Linked DNA regions of Notamacropus eugenii. The protein of the gene in region 2 interacts with the protein of the main gene of each other region in a biochemical or structural test. Links are inferred from orthologs where the notes say so. Each region holds a gene or a part of one and is shown on either strand. Other genes may lie near its edges. The genes, in order: XIRP1 and FLNC.

Region 1 (3,909 bases), about 350 Mb from region 2:
GAATCAAGAGGACCTGTGTTCCAATCCTGCCTCTGAGATCTTGAGGAGGCCTATTTCTCTCTCTGGGCCTCGGTTTCCTCATTTTACAAATGAGGAGGTTGAACTCTTCCTCTGAGAACCCCTCAGTGCTTCTGAGGTTCCTCACAGTCAGGATTTTAGGATCCCTCTAGAATACAGCCAAGGAGTGAGTCTCCAGCTTCTGCTCGAATACAGAAAAAGAGAACTCTCCATGGAAAGGAGAACTCATTACCTACCAAAATAGCCCAATTCACTTTGAGGAGGCTTTAAATCTTAGGGATGTTTTGGTAACCTTGACTCTAAATGGGCTCTTTGATCTTGTTTTGCCCCCTGGGGCCAAGCAGAACCAAGCTAATCCCTCCTCCACACAACCACGGTTCACATCCATGAAGACAGCTTATATCCCCTTGAGTCTTCTATAGGGTCCAGCCCAAGCCCCGCCCCCCCCATACCCAATGCCCTCCTGTAAACATTCTCCACTTAGTCACTGTCCTTCCCAGTGCCCACAGTTGCCCTTAGTCCTCCAGAGGTGGGTGGACTATCACCTTCTTATTCCTGGAAGAAACATCCCTCTTCAGGCAGCTCAGGAGGGCATTGCCCAAAGTAAGGAGTGGGCCCTGGGCTGCCCTGGGTGCCCTGGAAGGTTCCACATATTTCCTCTATCTCCCACAGCCTACCATCCTCATTTTCTCAGGGAGACCACACACATAGTGAACATTAAATACGTTTTTCAAATTGTTGTTGGATAGCAGAAATTTGGGCTGGGCCCTGACAGGCAGCTAGGATTTGTCCCAGGGAGGGGTGGAGATGGGTCATGCTGGGCAAAGGAGGTCCCTTCTTATTCATCCCCCTCAAATAGTCTGGGACACTCCTGGTATGTGACTGAGTCCCTTTTTCTAGACCTGAGTCACCAATGGATCAAGTGCTCCCCACAGGCGGGGACAGAGAGCAGGCTTTCTATGAATGAGGCACCTCCCCCCATCCCCTCCCCCCACCCCCAGTGCTTGGGCCCCCAGTCCAGCTCAGGGACCCGTGATTGATTCAGACGGATGGAATAGCAACTTCTACAATCCCTAAAAATAACACGCCAGCTTCATGCTCCCAACATAGCCTGGCTCTACCAGATAAAAGCAGCTGTCAGGCCACATACTGCACAGACCCAGGAGCTGGACAGACGCAGACGGGGACACAGGAGCCAAGACAAGTGAAAGCTGAAAGCGGAGGGACAGATCCACCAGAGTCAGCTTCCTCGGAGACTCCTCCTGAGCCCAGCATCTCTCCAGAAACCCCTGCCCTAGTGGCTTCCAGGGCCCCCCACGTAAGTAGCCATTCTCTCATCTCCTTGGGCAAACCTGGCCAGGGTCTCCTCATCTCCCGGGGGTGGCAGCCATGGCCCTCAGGTTGAGCACCAGTCAGGGCAGGGATGGGGAAAAGGAACAGGGAGGTCAGGAGCTCGCTCTGATCTCCCCTTGCAAGCTTCACTCTCCCCAAGACTCTGAGACTAACATCTAAAGAGCTGGCCACGGGAGGCCAGGATCTGACAGCGGGGGGTGGGAACACGCTAGCCTTGTTCCTCTGGGAGATTTCCATGGTTCCGGGGTGAGAGGCCCAGGGACTAGCCTGACTGCCCTGAGGGACTTGGGATCAAGAGACTCAGCACATAGACAGATTCCAGGCCCTCTGGCTCCCATCAAGTAAGGACTTGGAGAAAGTAACTTGCCTGCATTAGCTGTCTTGTAAATGAAGAAAGAAGAAGCCTGGAAGACTCCCTTACAGCTAAATGCCCCAAATCCCACCTTGGCAGAGTGGGCCCCATTTGGTTCAGAAGTCGCAGATATTAAGGAGGTGTCCTGCAGCCCATGGGGCCTGAGGAACTGTGTGCAAATCCAAAGTCCAGAAACTGGGTTTAGGGTGGCATCCTGAGAAACAGTCTTGGAAGTAGCTGATCCTCAGAGCCCATAAAGACCTGTTGGCTTTAGCCCTGGGTGTGAACACTCAGAGAAGGCAGAAGTGCCAACTAGCTTAAGAGGAAGCAAGAGGACCAAGCCTGGGAGCTGGGGAAGGGAGATGTCAGACACCAAACTGGAGGGAGATAAATCTGGTGTAATCCACTAAAGGAAAACCTCAGAAGATGAATTAAAACAGCCCATCCCATGGAATGCTGAAGGAATGCTGGGCATTGGGTTACCTAGGTCCCTTGCAGTGTCCTGGGCGCTTCATCCACAGCCTCTTCTTCCATAAATGCCCAGTGAGGAAAGGGAGGCCTTTGAACTCTGGCTGGGGCCCCATTCCCTGGTCTCTAGACTGTGGCATGACTGTCCTCTGATCTGGGAAGTGACAAGGTTAGCCTGGGAGGGCCTGTCTCTCTCCCTCCCTGGCCCTGCTGAGCTCAGCTGGGAGCTTGGGAAGAGCAGGCTTTGGGGCGCCCCAGGACCTGCTGAGCCAGCATGGAGGTTGCCCTCCCTGTCTAGGGAGCCCCAGAGGGGCCTGGCTGTCTGCCCCCTAAGGGCAAGACCCCTCCTAGGTTCAGGCCCCTCCCCTGACACACATAGCTCCTCAGCTGTCTGGGGTGAAAAGTCTTTACATTTCTGGCCCCAAGAATAGATCCCTTGGCATCTCCTTTTCCACCCCAAAGGAGGCTTCATACAGGAAAGGGACCTTCCTGAACCTTCCTTCCAGGTGCCCTCAGTCATCTTTGGAGTCAGAGAACCAGGATTCAAACCCTGGTGTACTACTTACTACCCGGGTGACTTTGGGCTAATCATTCCCACTCTTGGTGCCTCATTTTACTCATCCATAAAATAAGGGGGTCAGTGGCCCCCAAGGTCCCTTTTCTGCTCTAGGCTTGGGGCTCCTGGGATCACTCAGATGGCAGATTTCCCCCTCCCCCTGACCCCTATTCCTTGGCTCTCAGCCACCACAGCTTAGATTAAGCTTCCCTGGGCTGTTGTCAGTGCCCAGTGAGTGGGAAAGTCAACAGGGCGGGGGTAAGTCTGGTGCCAGACTGGGCTAGTAGAGGCTCTGGGCAACAGAGCAGTGACTCACCAGATTTGACCAAGGCAGATGGAGATGTGGATAGATATGCTGGGATGTGGAGGGGGCAGAGGCTGTTTAGCCACTAAAGTAGGGAGGGGCTGGTAAGGAGCCAGTGTAGGATCCAGGGCTTGAGTAGGTGTGGGTGAGTGACCCCTTGGGAGACTGGACACAGGACCTGTGGCCCTGAATTACTTATCTAGGTTGCTAATAAGGCCCAGAAAGGTCAAGCACTTAACCACCTGCCCAGTTCCTCGATTTCCCTAGAATGACAGTTGGGAAGTAATTGGGTGACCCAGTAACCTATCAAGGATGTCTACTTGGGGGCTTGACAAGGGGGCCTCACCATCCCCCATCTGACAACCCACCTCTCTGAAAGTCTGCCTATTGTTTGGGGACTGGAGGCCTCTGAAAAGGGAGGCGGAGGAAGGCCTCAACTCCAGGACTGGTCACTGCCCTAACTCTCCAGGGCAGTTTTCTCCAAGACGGTTCCTGTAGGGCTCATAATCATGGAGGCACCGATGCCAGTCTGATGCAACCAGGCAGCAAGTGACAAACCTCTTGTATTACTGTGGGGTCTTGGGAGTGTTTTCTGGACAAGAAAAGAGAAGACTGGAAACTAAGGTCAGAGTGTATTAAATAGGGGGCAGAAGCTGGGGCTGTGCCCTAGGGTGTCAAAATTCCAAGACCAGTGAAAATAGGAAGAAGCCCCATTCTGCTCCCTCCCCCTTCACAGAAAACTAGGGGCTCTGTTTCTCCACCACCACCATCGGGCCTTGTCCCAAAGTCCAAAGCCTCTTCTGAAGCCTTCCTCCTTGCCACTGAATTTGCCTTAGAAAGCTGTTTTCAGGAGCCATT
Region 2 (3,909 bases):
GGTTTGAGGTCTTCCCATTTGCCTATCATGGAGAGGTTGGGGTGCAGCTAATTCCCTCCAGATCCCCTATTCTAACTATTCTAGAACTGTTAAGAAAGGAGGGGTAGCAAGGATGAATCCAAACCTAGATTGAGTCATGCCTGTTTCTCTCTGGGGCTCAAGGAAGACCATTACCTATTCTATTCCTCAGTTTCCCTAAATTTGTCAACCATTTGGGCCAACATCCATTCCTGGAAGAGCCATGGATTTCCCTAGTATTAGTCTCCCCCCATCCATCCTCCCCCCATCTCCCCTGAGAAGGGTCAGTCTGATTGCTTTCCTCTCTCCAGGGCTTCCCTCTACTTCCATCCTATCTCTACCAGCCTTCGCACAACCTCAGCTCACATTCCCCCTTGGCCTATGCCAACAGGGATCTCCCTGACTGGCTGGCCAGACAGTCCTCCTTTCTGGCCAAGGATGGGCACAATGAATGGGGGTGGGGGGGTTCCCTGCCACTGAGGGGAAGGTCTGTCCTGACTCTTGTCCCTGGAGATACCATCTGAGTCAAGGTCTGGGGTCTGGGGGGATGGGGAGCGGAGAGAGGTGACTCATGGCCCAGCATCAGAACTTTTTCCTCACCCATTTCTGAGGCTGATCCTAAGTGGGTTGATGACACTAAATGGGAAGGGGGGTGGTGGTGGAGTGCAGGGTAAGTACCCTAGCCCCAATCACCAAGGGGAAAACTCATTCTAGCCCAAAAGGAAGCCTCTGTACTTCAATCCCAGAATAATAGAGGAAGGCAGTTCTTAGGAAAACCTTCTCTTCACGGCCAGATAATGCCATTGCCTCTATTTCCATGTTATTATCCTGTTTCTTCCTCCCCTACCCAAATATTATACTCCTACCCCACAGGACTCTGACATAGATGATTCATAGTTGGACTTATACTTGTCCAGAGACCTCCAGCAATATTAGACTTCTGTTCCCAATTCCAACCCCCTCCATTAGACCTTAGTTTCCCCAATCTGTCTCTTAAGTCTTAGTCATGTCTGTTTCTCCTTCCCCCTCCCCCCCATCTAAGACTTCATCCCCACCTGTGACTCAGCTTAGATATGGGGGGGGGAGAAAGGGAGGGGAGCAGAAGGGGGGAGGAGAAGGCCCTATGGTACTCTCCATCTTCCTTATTCTCCCCCATCTCTGACCTTGGCGCAGGGGATTTGGGGAGCAGCGTCCTACTGACAAACCTTTGTTCCTCCGACTGGGAATGGGGGAATCAGATTGGTATGAGAGTAGGAGGAGGGACCTGGGGAAGACCCTCTCTGGTTCCCTGTCCCTCCAGATCCTCCAGGCTACTGAGGGGGTAGGCGGGGCCTTCTCCGGCCCCCCTCCCCGCCCCTGCCCTCACCCCCCGCCGGCCGGCATTCCTGGGAGGCCGGCGCTCTGACGTGAGCCTGGGGAGGGGGGCCCCCCCGCGACCCAGGGTCTTCTTAAACCCCCCGCCCTCGGTCCGGCCCTGCATTTCCAGAGCACCGCTCCGCCCCCCCAGACGGAGAGAGAGACCAGGCTCAGCAGACGAGGAAGAGGAGGAGAAGGAAGGGAGAGTCGGAGCCCAAGCCCGAGGCTGAGCACGGAGACGGACCCCCGAGCTCCAGACAGAGGCAGAAGTTAGCGAAGTGCGGGAAAGAGTCCGCAGCTCCCAGGACAGCTCCCCGGAGCCAGCCGCGGACTCTGCGCCTAGCCCAGCCCCGGGCTCCGGACCCCGTCCTCCCGACTCAGGCTCGCTGGTCTCAGCCCCTGCCCCGCCGAGCCGCCTTCGGCCCCGTCCTCCGGACTCAGGCTCGCTGGCCTTCGCCCGACCCCCGAGGCGATCGCGATGAACAACAGTAACTACCCCGAAGGCCTGGGCGAGGACGCGGAGGAGATGCCGTCCGCGGAGAAGGACCTGGCCGAGGACGCGCCGTGGAAGAAGATCCAGCAGAACACCTTCACCCGCTGGTGCAACGAGCACCTCAAGTGCGTGGGCAAGCGCCTGGGGGACCTGCAGCGGGACCTGAGCGACGGCCTGCGCCTCATCGCCCTGCTCGAGGTGCTCAGCCAGAAGCGCATGTACCGCAAGTTCCACCCGCGGCCCAACTTTCGCCAGATGAAACTCGAAAACGTGTCCGTGGCTCTCGAGTTTTTGGAGCGCGAGCACATCAAGCTCGTGTCTATCGGTCAGTGCCCGGGGAGGGGCTGGTCGGGACGGGACGGGACGGGAAGGGATGGGGAAAGAAGGGTCCTGGGCAGCCTGTGCCCAGGGGCAGAGCTTTTCCCCCAGCCAGACTTCGGGGCGGTGTCCACGCGCGGAAAGGGAGAGAGGGGGGACCTTGGGGCTTTCCATTGGCGGGTGGAAAGAGCTTGGGGGAGGAGCCTTCCGTGGTGGGCTTGAACCCGCTGGCCATTGGGAGAGGCCGTGGGGTTTGGGGTAGGGCGAAGTAGTCGGGGAGCCCTAGTAGGGAGCGGGGAGGAAGGAGGGTTCAGCTACTAGAGCAGAGAAAATCACTGGCTCTCCCCTACCCACACCAACCCAAAGGCGCAGCACTTTTTCCTTCAGACACACAGACACAGACACACAGACACAGACACACAGACACACACACAGACACAGACACACACAGACACACAGACACACAGACACACACACACACACACACACACACACACACACACACACACACACACACACACACACACACACACACCCTCTTAACTAGACGAGGAAGGGATACATCAACATGTGCCTCACCCCTTCCTCTGCCTTTCCCCCTCCCATTCCCGACACACCCCAACTTGGCTCCTGCACCTGCATCACCTTTTCTCTCTGTCTTCCCATGCCAGACCCTTGCTAACAGGTCCAACAGTTATGGGATCTTTTCAGTTTCCCCTTCTGGAAATTGTCACCTCAAAAGCACCTGTCCCTCTCTTCAGTTTTTTTGGGGGTCACTAAAACAGTAACTTTAAGTGTAGGGTTGAGAGGAGACCAGGAGGCAGGATATTAGCCATTCCCCACGCTGGCAGTGACGGGGATGGTGAGGTAGCTCCCAAGAGTTCCTTTTAAGTGAGGTGAGGTGTTGGGGGCTGGGGTAGCCTGGTGGTACTGAAGGAAGCAATGACATCTTCTCCCTCCTCTTGTCTCCCCATGCTAGGCATGTGCCTGGCAGCTGGGCCCAGCCCCTGGGGGCCTTTCCAGGGAGGGGGGAAGGGGGTAGGACCCAGCCTTTGAAACCTAAAAAGGCACTGAGGGAGCATAGGAAACATTAACCCCTGCTTGTCCTTACCCTTCCTCTACCTACCTAAGAAGGGTCTTCGTAGCAAATCCATTCTTCTTTCCTACCTCCCAAGCAAAGGGCAGGGAACAAGGGGGGAGTCCTCATATACAGAGAAGGGGGAGTATAAATGTTGAGTGTAACCAAAGCCTGAAGTTGTGTGTGAGGAGGGTTGAGGCAAAAGGAGCACAGCTGGAAGGGGGGGGGGGGGGGGAAGAGAACCAGTAACATCTGCCCGGAACTTGGAGGAACTCAGAAAGTAGAATTCCCTTCTCCTGGTTTCTATCAGGACAGGGCTGTGTGGGGGAAGGGAAAGGGGAGGGAGAGAGGAAGGAAAGGGCAGTGGCAGAACTAGGGAGCTGTGGATGTGATTTGAACAAGAGTACAGTTATGGAGGACTCTCATACCACAGGATCAGCTATTTAGAAAGGACACATGTTTCTATCAGCTAAAAATAAGGAGTCCCACCATAAGGGTGCCATCCAGAGTTCATGAAGCCTGAAGTGTTTATTATGTATATGGAGGCTAATAGTGTAGGATGGGGTCTCCACACCAGAGATAGGGGCAGCTGGGGGCCTGAAAGGGTGAATCCTTCTTAGTGGGAGGTAAGGAGAGACAGTCCCAC

The links.
Region 1: the proteins of FLNC (region 2) and XIRP1 form a complex in vitro, tested with the Homo sapiens proteins (2 studies listed by BioGRID and IntAct, with this or other methods). The link is inferred for Notamacropus eugenii from reciprocal best matches to the Homo sapiens genes FLNC and XIRP1.

What each region holds. Positions count from the first base shown.
Region 1 is NC_092874.1:473,849,293-473,853,201, reverse strand, and holds the start of XIRP1 (xin actin-binding repeat-containing protein 1), read left to right. Parts: upstream 1-1,115; 5' UTR 1,116-1,336; intron 1,337-3,909. UniProt on the Homo sapiens protein: Protects actin filaments from depolymerization. Required for correct cardiac intercalated disk ultrastructure via maintenance of cell-cell adhesion stability, and as a result maintains cardiac organ morphology, conductance and heart beat rhythm.
Region 2 is NC_092874.1:121,302,971-121,306,879, reverse strand, and holds the start of FLNC (filamin-C), read left to right. Parts: upstream 1-1,481; 5' UTR 1,482-1,852; coding exon 1,853-2,192; intron 2,193-3,909.